4 linked regions of the Schizosaccharomyces pombe genome follow. Changing the gene in region 1 together with any one later gene gives a genetic interaction. Each region holds a gene or a part of one and is shown in the gene's direction. Other genes may lie near its edges.

Region 1 (4,234 bases):
GTGTTTTTTTAAAAACTTTACAATTTTAAATTAGGAAAACACTATAGAAATATGATTTAATGAAGGATATAACATTTTCTCTCGAACTTTTTTGCTTGTTACTAACTTCACTTTAGACTACGATGAGCGTTTCCACTTCTGTCGACCAGAGAATATCGCAAAACAATCTGAGTCACTTGGAAGTGTGCTTTTTGGCGACCGTCTCTACAACTCTCCCATTGAAATAAAAATGCTTGAAAACCAGGATTGTGTTCCCTTGTGTGCCTCGATAATTCCCAGTTCAGATGTCAGTTTTATTAGAGATTTAATCTCCAAAAACTACGTTGTTAACTGGAACATAGATAATCTGCCCGTAGCAACATATTTAGAAGGGACTAACTCAAAGAACTACTCATTATCGCCAGGCTTTCCATTAGGCAAGAATACGGAGAAGGGAGTAATTCTATTCAATCATTATGATATAGTTATAGAATATCATACGACATCTAGTGACCAACACCGTGTTGTGGGTGCTTATGTAAAACCTGTCTCAAAGGAGTCTACTTTAGTTGATGGAAACCCAGTTTGTTCTTCGTCTTCAAATCCACAGTATTTACCGGAAGGAGCTGATCTTACTCTCGTGACCTCTTACTCAGTCTCTTGGAAATATTCCGATACTCCATGGGCTACCCGATGGGACAAATATATGCACATTGAATCTAGGCAAATTCGATGGATCTTTATTATCCATTCCGCAATTATTGACACATTTCTAATTTTTGTGGTTTCTATTATTTTGTACAGAACGCTAAATCGTGACATTAATAAATATAATAGCGCCTTTGTCGATCAAGAAGATGTTCAAGAAGATTTTGGTTGGAAGCTAGTTCATGGTGATGTATTTCGTCCACCTCGTAGACCCATGCTATTTTCTATCCTTTTAGGGACTGGTGCACAACTTCTTTTTATGAGCTCTGGTATCGTTTTATTTGCAATTTTTGGCATTGTTGCACCCTCTCGTCGTGGAAGTTTAGCTACAGCAACGGTGGCCTTATTCATTATATCAGGTTTCGTTTCTGGTTATGTATCTGCATTATCCTACAAACTGATGCAAGGTATGCTTAGAAAGCGAAATCTTCTGTTAACTCCTTTTGTCGTACCTGGTTTTATGCTTGCGGCAGCTCTTTTCTTTAACATGGTATTTTGGAGTAAAAGTTCATCATCAACTGTACCCTTTTCAAGCTGGCTTCTACTCATTTTCCTGTATCTATTGTTTACTGTACCATTAAGCTTTGTCGGTTCTTTAATCGGCTTTCGTTCTCGAGAGTTCGTCCCACCTGTTAGGACAAACCAAATCCCTCGTCAAATTCCATCTCATAGTATTTGGCTTTCGAGTTTTCCTAGTGCGATTATCGGTGGATCTATACCATTCCTCGTAATCCTTATTGAATTGTTTTCTATCCTTGACAGTTTATGGTTTCACCCATTGTATTTCATGTTCGGTTTCTCGTTCTTTTGCTTCGGTATTTTAGTAACCACTTGTATCATGGTTTCCATTATCACTGTTTATTTCCAATTGTGTTCCGAAAACTACAACTGGTGGTGGCGCTCTTTCATAACACCTGGATTTTGTGGAATCTATGTATTTATATTTTCAGTATTTTACTGGTTTTTTAAAATCTCATCATCTTCCCTTGCTACTGCCGTTCTTTATTTCGGCTATAGTTTACTGATTTCTGTTTTGGTATTTTTCTTATGTGGATCGGTTGGTTTCTTTGGCGCCTTTCTCTTTGTTAACAAAATTTATGCGTCCATTAAAATTGATTGATTATTCGAGGCATTTGTACATACCTCTTTATTTATTGTTCAATTTGAGCTTTCTCCGTTACAAACCTTATTAATCAACAAAATGACTTGGAGAACACTCTCTTTTATATTCAAATAATTTCATAGGAATATGCCGTTTTTTTTCGGTCATCCAATATATAACTACAGTTTGTTTTACTTTGTGTAATAAAACCTTAGGTACTATATCATAGAAGAAATTTGAAAATTGTAATCTTAACCAAAATGTTTACTTAGAGTAAATTAAATTTATGTTTTCTACGTTAAAAGCTTTATTATATGTTACATAAATAATACAAAAAAGGAATATTACTCTAACTATATTTACGAAGCTCGCCCAAACCTTTTTCAACTACCAGTATTTCGCCTTCAGCTCAACCCTACTTTAAAAATTGTCTTTATATTACTTTTTCTCAGTTTACCAAATATTTAGAACGTAATTATTAAAATATCGGAAGTATGCCTTCTTCTGCTAGTGAACAACTTCTTCGAAAACAACTAAAGGTAAGCGCACGAAATCTTCATATCCAAATATTCATGATTGTACATAGTATCTTAATTCTTGAACACATACTGATAGATATAGGAAATTCAAAAAAATCCTCCACAGGGTTTTAGCGTTGGTTTAGTCGATGATAAATCCATTTTTGAATGGGAAGTTATGATCATTGGACCAGAAGATACATTATATGAAGGTGGTTTTTTCCATGCAACATTATCGTTTCCTCAAGTATGTATTTATGTTTCACAGAAAAATAATATTTGTTGTATAAGGTAAACAAGCTGGTCACTAACCTCGAAAAATTAGGATTATCCTCTGATGCCTCCAAAGATGAAGGTATAGTAAATACATTGATTTTTTAATTGATAGAAACTACATAGTCTATGCCTAAAAACGATTCTAACGGTAACAGTTCACAACGGAAATTTGGCACCCTAATGTTCATCCGAATGGCGAAGTTTGCATATCGATTCTTCACCCACCAGGAGATGACAAGTATGGATACGAGGATGCTGGAGAACGTTGGCTTCCGGTACACTCTCCGGAAACCATATTGATTAGTGTAATTTCCATGCTTTCTTCCCCTAATGATGAGTCCCCTGCCAATATAGATGCTGCCAAGGAATTTCGAGAAAATCGTGAGTATATACTAACCTACAAACAAAAAAATTTACTCTTTAATAATCAAATCGTACTAACTTTTTCCAGCACAAGAATTTAAGAAAAGAGTTCGTCGACTTGTTCGCAGGTCAATTGAAATGATTTGAAGATAATGTTCAACCTAGGTCCCTAATTTCCTATATTTAGAAAAAAGGCTATGAAGGAAATTCAAGTCGCTGCATAGAAAACCTCCTAAGTCAACTAGCAGTAAAGCTTACTCAAAAAGTCTGTAGCTTTACAAGTTGAATTGCATATTTTATGCCATCTTTGAAGTATTGCCGTTGCCCATTTTTTGAATAAGTTTAGCAAACTGTTCATTTATTATCACATATAATGAAATATTGGCAGAACGGTTGACATTTTAAAACTAACAGCTTTTGATTCTTTTCTGTTTTTATTATAAAGCTTTCAAGTTTTTCAAGTGTTACAACCGCAAGTGATTTATCCTACTTCTTTACCAATTACAGCCATAATTTAGATAAACAACAAATAAAAATCTACATTTCACGATTGAATTTTTTTCTTTGAACAAACGTCAGCTAATACTTCGTGAATTGATAGTTTTCCATTGAAAATTTTCTATTCAAGTAATTATTTTCGCTTATACGCTCATACTTTATCAGCGACGGTTTCAATTCCGCGTTTTGCACAACATACATTGAATGCAGCGATAAATCTCAGTCTATTATATTTTACACTAACTAGCTCAATGTCTCCTACGTATCCGAATGACTGATTCAATGATTAATCAAACCAATTAAAGAATCTAGCGAAACTTCGTTGAGTTTGAAAATTAAATACTCAGAGTAACCATTTAAGATGAATATTAAAATTGCATTAAGAACCGTGAAAGCATTGCCTTTTCATTTAGCGTTTTTTTATTGCATTATGCTTAAACTTTTCAGAATGACAATTAATATTACGCTATTCCGCAGTATGGTGGTGTTCACACTGGTTCAAATGCGTATATGGAACGTAGACAGCTATTAGGTCAAATCAGATATTAATAGCTTTTATCATTGTCATTTCTCCCTTAACTATTTGCAAGTCGAAAAAAATCCAATTTTAGCTCATGCACAGCGTTCTGCAGTAAACATGCCTCTGGCATTCACAAATCCCGGTACACCTCTAAAACGTACAGCTGCCTACGACAATGTACAATGGAACCAAAATCGAATATTAGTAAGTGAATGGACGCAAACGATATGCGTTTGTCTGCTAGTGGTTAAACTGCAGAACGAAAGCAGC
Region 2 (5,949 bases), on another chromosome or scaffold:
TGCATCACGAACAAGCACACCTCCTGTCCCTACACCTCCTTCTCTTCCTCCTAGTGCACCTCCATCTTTGCCCCCCAGTGCACCACCTTCTCTACCTATGGGCGCACCAGCTGCTCCCCCCCTACCACCTAGTGCACCAATTGCTCCTCCTCTACCCGCTGGTATGCCAGCTGCTCCACCATTGCCTCCCGCTGCACCAGCTCCTCCTCCAGCTCCAGCTCCTGCGCCCGCCGCGCCTGTTGCTTCGATAGCTGAATTGCCTCAACAAGACGGCCGTGCTAATTTAATGGCCAGTATCAGAGCCAGCGGTGGTATGGATTTACTGAAAAGCAGGGTAAGTATTGATATTATTACTTAATGGTTACTCGTACTAATATTTTCCAGAAAGTATCTGCTTCTCCTAGTGTCGCATCTACAAAAACTTCGAATCCTCCGGTAGAAGCACCCCCTTCTAACAATCTTATGGATGCATTGGCAAGCGCTTTGAACCAACGTAAAACCAAAGTCGCTCAGAGTGGTATGTCCGGATTTCTCGTATTTTTTTTCAAAAGTTCTTAAGTTTACTAATTCTTTCAGACGAAGAGGATGAAGACGACGATGAGTGGGACTAGTTATTAATATCTTTGAAATTACCTATACTTTTTTGATTCACACAGTCTTTTAAAGTTTTGTTAAACGACTTCACTATTTTTATTTGGATTTGTGTTTATTGTATTAGAGCAAACACCATTTATTCTAAATTGAATAACGCGAATTTGTGTTGATATTACTATTCATATATCGCAACACAGTGTGTATCTTTACTTTATTGTAAGTATGGGAGCAGTCACACATTTCGGTACCACAACTTTAGAAACGTCAAGTTCAAGTCCTTCCACAACCAAAAACGTTTGGTCAAATAGAAACAAATGGATCCCTCCAAATTGGCTAAGTTGCAGGCTGGCGCTCGTATTGGTATGTTCGAATGCATCCCCGTGTTTTGAAGTTGACACCAGCTCTAAGAAATGCCTTGAACGGTTTCAAAGTGGTTCCACTGTAATTGATGCTGGCTATTGAAAACACAGTTGTACTTTTTTCATAGAGAACTGCTTAATTAACTTATCATTGTATAGGTGGAAAGGGTACCCCTCGTCGTAAGGTGAAGAAGCCTTCTAAGTCTGCCATGAGTGCTGCTGATGACAAGAAGGTTCAAGGTGCCTTGAAAAAGTTGAATATGCAAAACCTTGCTGGCATCCAAGAGGTTAACATGTTCAAGGAAGATGGCGGAGTCATTAATTTCCGTGCACCTACCGTTCATTCCTCGCTTCCTAATGAAACTACAGCTATCTATGGTAAAGCAGAGGAAAAGACTTTGTCTGAGATTTTGCCTGGCATTTTGAACAACCTTGGTCCTGAATCCTTGACTGCCCTTCGTCAAATGGCTGAGCAATTAAAGGTCAGTGAAGGTGAAAAGGGAGCTGATGCACAAGCCGACGATGGAGAAATTCCTGACCTTGTCGAAAAGTTTGACGAACAAGATTAAATAAGCAACAAAATATTTCATGTCGGATTTTTGACTCAAGATTTGGGTGCTAATATATGTAAAGTGACTATGGTATTATCAGTAATTTGAAAAATCGTAATTATGTAATTCGTAAGATAAAGATTTTAGCAAATTTAAGTGCAGTAAGCGAGGGATATACTGACGCTTTGTAAATGCACGTTGGCAAGGTACAAGAGGTCTCTCTTGTACTTGTTAAGGTTATACAATTCAACCATTTTCAATATATAGTTTTCTTTGATTAATTTGGTTAAAAAATCTTTGCTGTCATTTTCCTTATAAGTAAGCTTGGCAATAATCTTTTTAAAGATGGTTTGGACTTATTCAAGAATTGCGGAAATTAGCCTACGTTAAGCATTTACTTCGTATTGTTAATAGGAATCGCTAATTTCAATAAACTAAATTTTCGATGCGGCGTGGTAGGCAATTATTGCAGAACACCCACGTTCCACAGTAAGTGCATCTCCCCCACACGATTGTCGCCGCTACCCCCGCTCAGCTGTATTTGTCGTTATTTATTGCAACGGCGTTATTGTTACGTTTTTCCACCTAAAACCTTTACAACAAACAGATTTGCTGGTTGTTAAAAGATAACAAGGATTTTTTACTTTAAGAGAGAAAGTGCTAAAATTATGAATTCAGAAGCAAGTGTATTTAGTAATATGGATTGGTAAGTTTTTTTCCTGGGATTTACCACATTTTACGATTTTCAAAAAATTGCGTTTCTGATACGCTTGAAATACTTTGAGTTTCAAATTGCCTTGTACTAACAACTTATGTTTTGTAGGAGCCAGCTGGCACATTCGTTACATAAAAAAGCAAATAACTCGAGTTCTTCAACAACTGGTGCTTTTCCTCAGTTAACATCTTTTACTAAACCTACTGCCACAAATGGAGTGGATTCTCCTACATCGTCTCATATTGACCCTTCTGTTTCTGCAAAATTGGATTCACAAAGAAAACTGTCTTTAAAAAGTGGCAATATGTGGGACTCTTTAAATGCACCTTCTGAATTGACTAGCAAAAATCCTACAGTATCGTCAACAACCTCATCAGCAAACCCAGCCATTGTTTCAAATGGTGGTTCTCCTTTTTATAAAAATCCAGTTGTTGCAAATAATCCAAGTAGCACCTTTGATATGTCTACCAATTTGTTTAATTCTAAAAATGCCAACACCTCTTTTACAAACGCTTTTTCTAATGAGGGCATATCTCCTGGATTTTTAAGGGATTGTTTTCCATCCTCGAATTCTATAACAACGGGCACAGCTTCTCCCAAACTGGGGAGCCCTTTTAATCATATCAATCGTCCTGTATTAGATCGCAGCCCTTCTTCATTTTCTCAAAGTCGCTCAGCGGTTTCTGGTAATATGAATCCCGGTGTTGGGACTTTGCAACAGCCGCAGCGTGCTGGTTCTGATACTTTTCCTGACTTGAACACTTCTTCAAGCAATCAACCAGGTGGGGAACCGAATGTTGCTTCAGCTAATACTCATTCTCTTGAAATTCTATCAAGCTCTGCTTACCATCCTTCTGGATCATCAAATGGAATATCTGCAGGTTTAACACAATCCGTGGCTTCTCCTGTTGGACAGGTTGATAATCTCGCAGATTTCTCTCAGTCCCCACTACGCAGAGGTCCATCTCGATTTCCCACTAATTCCAACGTTCCAGTGGGAAATTCAATGAGTATTAGAGACACTGATTCTCCACTAAATATTCTTGTTGATAAGGCCAAAGCTAAAGCATCTATTAAAGAGAACGCGTCCCAACCTGTTGCACCAAGCGCATCTCAACGTGAGCATTCTGCTGTCAATAGTCCTGCGGCTGCTATGTCTCCCTCTACAGCTATGTTTTCTTCGGAGGCGTTTCCTCAGCACTTGGCTTCGTTAATTCCTCCCGCTCTTCTGCATTGGCTTTATAAAGACCCTCAAAATAATGTCCAAGGCCCCTTTACTGGAGTAGATATGCATCAATGGTATAGAGCTGGTTATTTTCCTCTTGGCTTGCCAATAAAGAGGCTAGAAGAAGAAGAGTATTACTCTCTTGCCTTTTTTATTCGTCAGGTGGGCAACCAGTTGGAACCCTTCTTGGTTCCTCTATCACCTGTAACTGTTCAAAACGCCTCTTGGAATGCTCAAGGAACCGATCTTCCTTTGAGCAATTATCTTCCGGAGAGCTCTGAACAAAATAGAGGTGGAAACAAACACCTTGAATTATATCCCAGTACTGCGGAAGTTTCAAATGTTAGAAATGATGAATCAAAAGCAAACTCGTTATCTGAGATTTCCTATAATCAGCAATCCGAGTGCCGAAGTTCTGAGCTCAATGTTAATGAAGACAGTGCTAACCAAAAGGAGGAATCGGCCCTTGGTACTTCTGACAACTCTGATATGTATGAAAAAGAAAACACTCCCATTCATCATAATGAATCGTTAAATCAATTGTCAAAAGATCTCGGTTCTATCAGTCTCTCTGAGGAAACTAAGCAAGAAAAGCCGTCGAAGCTTAAGGAAACTGTTGAATCGAAAAGACTTTCTACGGGTGTGCAAAAACAGTCTCCTGCAGCTTCGAAAGAAATCCCCGTTACTAGCGGATCACAAACTACGGCTCCAAAGCCTTCTCCTTGGAAATCTCTTCCTCCTAAGCATTTACCTTCTCTCGATGAGACTATAAGTAGGGAAATGAGTATTGCTAGTTCTGAAGCGCTTCCTCAAGTTGAAAAATCTAACAGCGATCAACCACCTGTCGCCATTCCTAGCACTTCAAAAACCGGTTCACCTTGGGCTAAAGTTAGTGATGTGTCTACTTCAATGGCTCAAGAAATTCAACGCATGGAAAAACAAAATGAGAATTTGAAAAGCAAAGTTGCTTCCAATCCTGTTTCACAAACTTCCACAAATGCCAAAGCTTCCACACCAGCTCTTGCTTCAGGCTCCATTTGGGGAAGCCCGTCTGTAATAAATGCGTGGGCCAACAAGCCAGCTGCTCTCAAGTCTCCGTTGATAAAGAAAAATATTCAGCAAGCTGAGCTTGCCCAAAACAAACAGCAATCTTCCGTTACTACTGCCAGTCCTCGTTCTAATGCATTAAATGCTAACACTCCAAAGGCAGCTGCCCCTTCTAGTAATGTTACAATGAAAAATGTAACATCTATATTAGAAACCTCTACGTTCGAAGGCGAGGATACATGGTCTGTAGTTGGACCTGGTGGGAAAATCGTTAATCAGCAATCTCCTTCTGCTCAACAAACGACTCGTTCTCCCTCTAAAGTTTCGGCTACATTAAATGCTGGTAATTCTCAAGCATCTACTTCATCAAAATTACAACAAGTTGTGTCAATGTCGGGTCATTCGCCGGACTTTTTAGCATGGTGCAAGATTTCTTTGAAAGGTTTGAATGAAGGTGTTAATTACGAAGAATTTCTCGATATGTTACTTTCTTTGCCAGCTGAAAATAATGTTGAAACTTTTGAGATTATCTCGGATTCCATTTATGCTAATAGTACTATTATGGATGGACGTCGCTTTGCTAGTGAGTTTACTCGCCGTCGTATAGCCGATTTAACTGGCAAAGATGGGCAACAATCTAACAATAAGTCTCAATCAGAGTTGGGTAACTCTAGTGGTGCTTGGAGTCAGGTTGTTCGTAACAAGCCAAAGCAAGGTACTGAATGGAATTCGGCGTTTAAAGTGGTTACTAGTAAAAAAAACAAAAAGCGGGTATAATTTGAATCTTTTGAGTTGATGTTTTGTGATCTTGCATGGATACAATAAAAATCGGTTTCGGTTGTATAATATTGGAGTGCTAAAAATTTTAAGTTAATAATCCATATTTCAAATATATATAATATTTGTACATTTGTTGAACTTGTATTGTTAAGCTGGTGAACGAACAATGTAGAGGTTATAAGTGTTCTTGACCAGTTCTTACTAAACCGATTTTGTAGTACACAAATTTATTATGGAGGATACTGTAGTTAACTATTATGTAATTTTAAAAAAAAAATACTACCAAAATATTATTATTCTAGTTTAACATAATTTTAACTTAATGGTATTTTTAGTGCTAAATATAAATATAACGGCAAACTGATCAGTCAATTTGCATTCACGTATTTAGGAGCAAGTGTATCATTTCTTTGACATAAATGTAAAGCTGGCATGAAGGAAAGAGGCTCAACGCATAGTGACAAACTTAAACCCTTATAATTCATTAATACTCGGGCAATTGCATGGGCTCAAGGGCTAACAAAACATCAAATACAATATTTTGAGCTTTAGAAAAGATTTTCAGCTTGCCGGACGATGTTAGAATGGCACAATCAGTGTTCACTTTGGAAAGTGAGAATACTGAGTTTGTCAAATCTAAAGAAGTACACCTTTTGATATGTTCCATAAGAATTGGGT
Region 3 (4,080 bases), 2.5 Mb from region 1:
CACACATTTGCACTCCGTACACATTTCTCAACACGCCGAATAGTTTCTTTTCATAATCCCCAACATATAACATCACAAGATTTCGTCTAGCATTCTTACCAAAACTCGTACTGTAAATGTTACAGTGAGTGATAGCCGTTAGCTAAGATGACCTGCTGAGACTAAACAAAATCATGAGAAAACGAATAATGTATTTTATATACCTAATATTTAAGAGGGAATCTTGGAGAAAACTGGGTAGTTTGAGAATAATAAATGTTCTTTTCCATCTTTACAAATGAGACGAAGATTTTTGCTCTACCCAAACTAATTAATCTGTTGTTTCAAAATCATTTTAAGTATAGGCTATAATGTAAAACATTGATATTATACAAGAAGTATTTATTACTTATGCTTATGATTTCGTTTGCGATGCTAACAGCAGTGTGTCGTAAGAAACTCACCATCAGCATAAAACAAGATGGCTTTGACTCCAGACACTGTTTCTTCAAAGTTGGCTACTCTAAATGAAACACAAGAAAGTATAACGGGAATAGCGCATTGGGTTATGTTTCACAAGCGTTATGCTGATGAAATTGTCCAAATATGGCTGGAAGCTTTGTATGAATGTATGACTCCTTTAGGAATTTGTTCGATTGTCTAACTAATTTAACCAGCTTCTTCCAACAAAAAGCTTTTATTGCTTTACCTGCTCAACGAAGTCGTTCAACAATCCCGGGTCAAAAAAATATCTGAATATATTGATGCCGTTTCTCCAGTAAGTTACTATCATTATGAGCTTGGAACATCTCCTATATGGTTTAGATTCTAATAATATTTGCATAGTATGTCGTAAACTCTGTAGCTGACGCGTACGCGTCAGTTCCTGCTTCCATTAAAACAAAAATCAAATACGTTTTTGACGTTTGGTGTCAACGCGGCATATTTTCTAAGGAGATACTTTTATCCTTGCAGGAAAGGTTTAATAATGCCGAGAACAGTGGCCATTCTAACTATTACCCCGTTGGCCCTCCGGAATGGGTATGCCGCAATTCAAATAAAATATCAGAACTTTACTAATTGCATAGGCACCTTACACTCGTTTAATGACACAAACTAGTTTATACGCAAAATCTGCTCACTCTACCAAAACTGTGGTAGATGCATTGTATAAATCATACTTGGAGAAACAATCAGATTATTCTGAACTACTCGATAATTATAAAAAGCAACTAAATAAAGCCTCTGAATCATGTAAAGGTAATTATCAGGCTTGCATCGAATCCCGATCCACACTCATTACTTCCTTGGAATCGCTTATAGAAGAACAAAAAAAGCTACTTTCAGAGGAAGAAGAGAGCCTAAAATCTGTTGAATCCATAATTTCTAATTTAGAGAATAAGGAAAGTACAACAGCTACCTCTACCTTGACCGATGCAGGTTTTGGAGATAAAAGTTCTACTGCTGGCAAACATAATGTAGAAACAACATCACCTCCGTCTAGTTCTCCAAACAGTGATGATGCTTATTCTCCTCAAGTAGATTCTTACTCTCCAAGCATTAACAGCGTACCATATACTTCCAATATTGTCGAAAATCCATCTGAAGACAATCTCTCTCCTCTTCCTCCTCCTGCCAGTGGACCCTATTCCCAAGAAGAAGAAGAAACATCATTATTTAAAAGCCAGAGAAAAGAAGAAAATGAAGAGGAATCTAAAGAATTACCAGAAGACTCAGATATCTATGGAAAAGATAGTTCTCCCTCTTCGGACGACTCTAGTGCAGCTGGTCTATATGGTGATAGCTGAAATCCATGAAATGTAATGCTTAGTTTTCATTATTTTTCTTTTTTTTTTTAAACTGTCAATCAATGTGGCAGTCTTAGTCAATAAGCATTTTTAGAATACCTATCCTAACCTTTTATATGCGTCAGTACCTGACTTCATCCTATCGAAGCCGTTTTTGGAATTTTGTATATTTCGAAGAAAGTTGAGCCCTATCTAGGAAGAATGGGCTTTTAATGTCTGAAAAAAAACATTCTTGCGAAGAAAAATCGCTGCAACTATATCCTCTTTCAAATAAAATTCGTCATGTAAATCCGAATATTTCAGCTCTTCCGTCTGAGACTGATATATCTGAATCATTGACGAACGATTTAACTAAACTAGAAATTTCTAACTATGCTCCATTTAATAGAGATTTAGAGACTTTTTCCGATTTAATTTTTGGCTTAACTAATATACAAAAAAAATCATTGTATTCTCTTCAATTAGGCAGAAGTAGAGGATATGCTTTATATTCAGACGAGAATGAGAAATATTTGTGGTCTATAAATACTAAAATCACCTCTACGGAACAAAGGGAAGTACTGCTTGTCAAATCTAATAATAAGAAGTTTGATACTTCCATCGTCCTAAAACATACTCACTTATCATCCAAGTCTCAAAACGAAAAAAAAGCTAGAGTAAAAGTATTTCGGCAAGAAATTTGGGCCCTCAAAACTTTGTCGCATCCATGTGTTGTGCAGCTATTAAATTACTACGTTTCCTCCGCCGAATTAATACTCGTAGAGAATTATTGTATGGGAGGAGATCTCTATCATTACACTAAAAAACATCATTCGGATTTCAGCCTTGAATTTGTTGGGCGAATTTTTTCTGAGTTAGTACATACAGTTGCTTACCTTCATTCCAAATGTTTGATTCATAGAGATTTAAAACTTGAAAGTAAGCTCGATGAATAAGGATTTTCAACTTTTACAGTTATGATTTTAAACTAACACTTTGTCTTTAGATATATTGCTTACCCAACCTTATAATGTTATAAAGACGATTGATAATTGGAAGAACTACCCAAATGCTTTAATTCAGATTTCTGACTTTGAGCTTTCTATTTTTGTTGACAGTAAAAATCATTTAGTGCAATCCAGCTGCGGCAGCCAAGAATATGCACCACCGGAAGTTTATATGGGTATTGCACATGATGGATTTCGCGCGGACGCTTGGTCTCTCGGAATAGTTTTATTTGCACTATTAGAGGGTCGTCTTCCCTTTGACTCCTACCCAACTTTGGATCCTGAGAATGTAAGGATCAAACGTTATGTTCAAAGGCTTGTAAGATGTGATTATACATGGCACTTATGCAAATCGCCATTCAAAAGATCTACTGGAAATACTAATGATAACGACGATCCTTCATGGCGGTTCCGCTTATTTGTGAAAAAACTTCTCAAAAATAGAGACCAGCGCAGCACACCGACTGAATTGTTAAAAGATTTTAATAAACATGGCAACTTTACTTTACCGTTATTAGAGAACGTTACGATTTAGAGACCTTTAATGATAAATGTCTTACTTCAATGGATTATGTCTGTACCTAATTATTTTGATAACGCGCTTTTAATTTCAATAGAAAATTAGTAGCAGATTTTTACAAAAACTATTCATCGTTTTAATCCAATCCTAGTAGAAAAATGAAACTCACTTAAATTTTAATCATCATCCCAATGAGGGTTGGGGCCAGGTGGTTTTGGACCTCCAGCTGGTTTAGACATAACAACTTGATCAACGTTTAAAACAGTGAGTACAGTTTCAGTTGCTAATCTAATTGCTGATTTTTTTGCTAATAAAACATCAAATATACCAGCTTCTTTCGCATCTAATGTTCCATCATTTTCACATTCAACATCAACTCCAATTGATTCACCGTTTTCCTTATGATGGGCAGCATAAAGTTTGCTAATAACATCAGTAGGATCTAATCCAGCGTTTTCTGAAATAGTCCTAGGAACAACCTCAAATGCTTCTCCATACTGTTTGATTGCATGTTGATATATACCAGGAGTTTTTTCACCAACTGAAATTAGACGAATACAGAGTTGCATATCACTAGCTCCAGCACCAAAGATTAAACGGTTATCTTTGACCAAAGCTTTTACGATATTTACACCATCATCAATCGCTCTTTCCAAATCATCCAAGTATGTCTTAGTAGCCCCTCGAAGCACGATTGTTGCAGTACGTGTAATATCCTCAACTTGACGGAATACAGTGACACGATCACCACCAATCTCAATCGTCTCAACAACATCGACGGATCCCA
Region 4 (4,029 bases), on another chromosome or scaffold:
ATGTCCATTCCGCTGCACCATAATTTTTAAAAAAAGCGTCCTTATACTTTAGATAACAAACTGCTGGAGCATTGAATAGAATGATTGAAGTGAATGATATTAGCAGTTTTATCAACAAAGGGGAAGAATTATCTGTCGACCTGGAAGGATTGTTTTCTCTATGTGTGTTAGGAGAATTGCTTAAACGTGCATGATCTGTTTAAATTAATATGATTGAAAGACTTTAGTTAAGAAAAAGCATGTATCAAAGTGTGTGCATTGCATGGCCAACTGTAAACAATGATCACATCCAAGTTATTTTACAGCAATGGCAAGTTACAACTTTCAATTGAATAATTCCTTTCTTATTATTTACAATTCTTACCTGAATATAGAGGTAATGCGCCTTCTTCCTTTGAATCATATTCTGGGAGTAGCCCTTTTTCCAAATCGATTTCATGATCTGTCTTCAATTCATCTTCCTCATCTATAGAACTTTTCAAGGAAGTGCAATTATTCTTCATTTCATCAAGATCATTCTTTATTTAATAAAACACATGCGCGAATTAATTGCTATGATTGCGACAAACGAAACAGCAAAATCAAGAATATTCACTCTGGAGTTCAGTTCCCGCCGTTCAATATAAATAAATGAACAATACTCGTTTCAAAGCAAACTGTTTCTTCAATAATAGCAAGTGAAAAGTAGATTTCCAAAACTCATTTTAGTGTAATTGCTTCTGACACATTTATTTTGTCACTGCCCTTTTTATTCACCCTAACTTAGCTTTCCTTATGCATTAATAGAGATCTCGAAGTATTTTGTTACTGTGTAATAAAATATGACACTACAAGTCACTTCGCAAATCATGTCAATTACGCAGTTTGGTATTTGTTTAACGATACGTAGAACTTGTGGTTAGTTTTCCTTATGATCATATATTGCATTACACAGGTAATGCAAGTAGCAACTTGGTAAATGTATTCTAGTATGTAGGTTTCATTGCTACCTATCACTTAATCTAACTTATAACTGAACTTCGTTCCTCAGTTTAGTTGATCAGAATTTACAATATTGAAAAAGGCTTGGTAGTCATATTACCATGGATGATATTATAATTTGTTTGATAACTTATCATATAAAGTAAATGAAGCAAACAGGACATTAGAACATGTGACATATAGTGATATGTAGCGTAGTGTAATATTATAGTGCAGTATTGCTGATAGCAATGTAGTTAAATAACGATACGCTCTTTCTAATACCGTATTTTAAGATGTTGGCGTTAGTAAAACGCTCATTTTAGACATCGCACTAATAAATCACTATTTAATAAACAAAGGTGAGATGGGTGTAAGCAGAACAAAATGGAGAGAACACGATAATTTTTAGTTTCCTTTATTGTTTGCTGTTCATATAGTATCAATAAATTGCTGCCATGATAAAGCGAAATGTTGTGGTACCTTTTCAATTGATATGTAAGCACATCGCAGTGACTAATACGTATTGCAAATGCATAGTATGAAAGTAATGGAATATTTATGAAGTGTTCTTTTTTTTAACGTTAAGAAAGTCAATCGACTTTGGTTAAGTACCTGCATGTTTTGCTGCATTCATATTGACGAATTGGAAAAGCGTTATTATTTTAGTTAGTGATAGTATCAAAAAGTAGCTATTAATACTATAATTCTGAAGAGTTAGTATTCATAAAGGATTTTTTGATCCTGTCTTATTTCCTTAGTAAAGTATAATGTAAACGAGGTTGATCAAGTACCTATTGTTAAAGAACGAGTATGAGAGGACATTGGGTTCAATAATCATGTAAGCGAGATAATATAGGTAGATTGTAAAAATTTTAGTACCCATATTTAGACAAGGAAATAACTAGATTTTGTTAACCGAGATATTGGATGAAACAATTTAAACAAAAGCCAAGGTTTTTTCATGGTTAAAATTTTTAACGCCATTAACTCTTTCATTGGGGCTCTCTGATCTAATGGAATGTCCCGAATATTGATAGGCACTTCAAATCAAATATCGGATTCTATTATCTCAATTGTCTTGTGCACTATGTTTTCTTCGTTCTTTACGCCTTTTGTTTACATCTGTGTTGGCTTGGCACTCAGTGAGGCTGAATTTCGTCATTCACCATACTTGTCTTTTACCAGCAACATACCTATAAAAGCAATTAACAACGTTTACTAACTGAACCTACTTTAAAGCCTTTTTGGATCTTAAGTAAACGGATTTCGTTGTTCTTGGATCGTTCTGTTTTCTGATTTTTTGGGTTTTCAAATATATCTCGTCGGTTTTAAAAAAATCCACCAACTGAATCATTATTTGCTTCTTTTCTTACTTTAACACTTTTTTACCTTTTTTAAACTCTGTGTGCATCACTCAAAATGTCGAATGTTACACTTAGTGACTTTTTATTAATTGTTCTCTCCTTCTTTGTTCCTTTCATCGTGGTAGGCATTCGAAGGGGCTTTTGCACCGCAGAGTATGTTTTCCTCCAGGCTTTTTTGCTGTCTTTTCCTTTTCAACGTCGCTGACTTTATTTTAGTTTTCTAATCAACATTTGCTTGTGCGCTTTAGGCATTCCTGGAATCATCCATGCAATTTACATAGTTATTAAGTACCCAAGAACGGTTCGTTTGGATATTGAGAACTCTCCCAACGATCCCCTCGTTCGTTATACTCCTAATCCAGAACATGCCGTATCTCCTCATTCAGGTCCTGCTCCTCCTTCCTACTCGTCTTTAGCCTCAAACGGTATGCCTTAACTTGTTCTCATTCTTAATTTTTTTACTAACTTTAAAAAGACAACAAACATCAATCACCTTAAGAGCAAAAATGTTTGAAATATTTCGATGCGCTACTTTCTTTCTTACTATTTTGCAATAAGCGTATTTATTGAGCATTTCCGCCAATCAAGATGGTTTCGTTATGGAAGCATCTTTTTTCATATGTTTTCCTCCTATGTGTTTGTAATCTTTATTTATAATAAATTGCCTCTCTGTTTTTTTACAGGTCGATGGGCCCAGCTTGATGCTTCAATGTTTCATTGAAGATTTATATAAATATGCTCGCTTGATTATGATCTTTCTTGGATACAGGATACTTATTACTGTCCTCATTGCTTTCAATAAAGTTGATGCATATCTATAGTTACGATAAACTTGATCTTATACTGTGGGGTAATTCACTTGTATAAATTTTTCAATGCCTTTGGACTAGTCACTAATTAATATGATATGTATTTTCAAATATTCCAGGTCATAAATATTCTCCAAATTAATCCTTGTACTTTAATTCCAACACTAAGATTGATTTCCTTCAACATCTTTACCGTATAACGATGTGCATCACCCGTATACGTAACAATAGTCTAATGATACTTAGTTTGCACCTCCTTATTCTAAATTTCCTTGGAAGTAGTAAGTATGCATGTTCATATACTAGACCCTACCCTAATGCTAATTATTTCTTAAATGTGACTGTCATTCTACTGCAACACAAACGATGAAATTTCAGTAGCTGAAATCCTCACGCATCCGCACAACACCAGCATTGCACCATGTCTAAGGTCAGCGTTGCCTCGGTCCGCTCTAACGTCGAGCAAATTCTCAAGGGCTCTGAAGAGAAGAAGCGTAACTTCACTGAGACTGTCGAGCTTCAAATTGGTTTGAAGAACTATGACCCTCAACGTGATAAGCGTTTCTCCGGTACTATCAAGTTGCCCAATGTTCCTCGTCCCAACATGGCCATTTGCATTCTCGGTGATGCCCATGATTTGGATCGTGCCAAGCACGGTGGTGTCGATGCTATGTCCGTCGATGACTTGAAAAAGCTTAACAAGAACAAGAAGCTTGTCAAGAAGTTGGCCAAGAAGTATGATGCTTTCATTGCTTCTGAAGTCCTCATCAAGCAAATTCCTCGTCTGTTGGGTCCCGGTCTTTCCAAGGCTGGTAAGTTCCCTTCCCCTGTCTCCCATGCTGACGACCTTTACGGTAAAATCACCGAGGTTAAGTCCACTATCAAGTTCCAAT

Evidence for each region.
Region 2: mutations in ubc15 (region 1) and mpd2 together harm fitness less than expected from each alone (positive genetic interaction), as found in Schizosaccharomyces pombe (one large-scale study listed by BioGRID).
Region 3: mutations in ubc15 (region 1) and ppk27 together harm fitness more than expected from each alone (negative genetic interaction), as found in Schizosaccharomyces pombe (one large-scale study listed by BioGRID).
Region 4: mutations in ubc15 (region 1) and pmp31 together harm fitness less than expected from each alone (positive genetic interaction), as found in Schizosaccharomyces pombe (one large-scale study listed by BioGRID).

Annotation. Positions count from the first base shown.
Region 1 is NC_003423.3:3,520,592-3,524,825, forward strand, and holds ubc15 (ubiquitin-conjugating enzyme Ubc15), read left to right. Parts: upstream 1-2,178; 5' UTR 2,179-2,283; coding exon 2,284-2,328; exon of another isoform or gene 2,329-2,410; coding exon 2,411-2,554; exon of another isoform or gene 2,555-2,557; intron 2,558-2,632; coding exon 2,633-2,662; intron 2,663-2,679; exon of another isoform or gene 2,680-2,738; coding exon 2,739-2,964; exon of another isoform or gene 2,965-3,034; coding exon 3,035-3,093; 3' UTR 3,094-3,554; downstream 3,555-4,234. Other genes in the region: EMP70 family endosomal transport protein Emp70, read left to right, coding at 117-1,807; RAVE complex subunit Rav1, read left to right, coding at 4,082-4,168. UniProt on the Schizosaccharomyces pombe protein: Catalyzes the covalent attachment of ubiquitin to other proteins. Has a role in the formation of chromatin structures that influence the localization of transcriptional silencing factors.
Region 2 is NC_003424.3:4,856,192-4,862,140, reverse strand, and holds mpd2 (GYF domain protein), read left to right. Parts: upstream 1-2,087; 5' UTR 2,088-2,172; coding exon 2,173-2,210; intron 2,211-2,327; coding exon 2,328-5,268; 3' UTR 5,269-5,411; downstream 5,412-5,949. Other genes in the region: wsp1 (actin assembly factor), read left to right, coding at 1-334, 385-517, 577-611; btf3 (nascent polypeptide-associated complex beta subunit), read left to right, coding at 909-954, 1,113-1,522; kinetochore protein fta1, read right to left, coding at 5,756-5,949. UniProt on the Schizosaccharomyces pombe protein: Has a role in mRNA export from the nucleus.
Region 3 is NC_003423.3:1,035,078-1,039,157, forward strand, and holds ppk27 (serine/threonine protein kinase Ppk27), read left to right. Parts: upstream 1-1,999; coding exon 2,000-2,705; intron 2,706-2,772; coding exon 2,773-3,308; downstream 3,309-4,080. Other genes in the region: rhn1 (RNA polymerase II transcription termination factor), read left to right, coding at 461-608, 657-757, 826-1,020, 1,068-1,787; chaperonin-containing T-complex theta subunit Cct8, read right to left, coding at 3,470-4,080.
Region 4 is NC_003421.2:612,079-616,107, reverse strand, and holds pmp31 (plasma membrane proteolipid Pmp31), read left to right. Parts: upstream 1-2,143; 5' UTR 2,144-2,382; coding exon 2,383-2,480; exon of another isoform or gene 2,481-2,541; intron 2,542-2,543; coding exon 2,544-2,752; intron 2,753-2,802; coding exon 2,803-2,825; 3' UTR 2,826-3,348; downstream 3,349-4,029. Other genes in the region: wtf antidote-like meiotic drive suppressor Wtf10, read right to left, coding at 1-195, 365-503; rpl101 (60S ribosomal protein uL1), read left to right, coding at 3,558-4,029.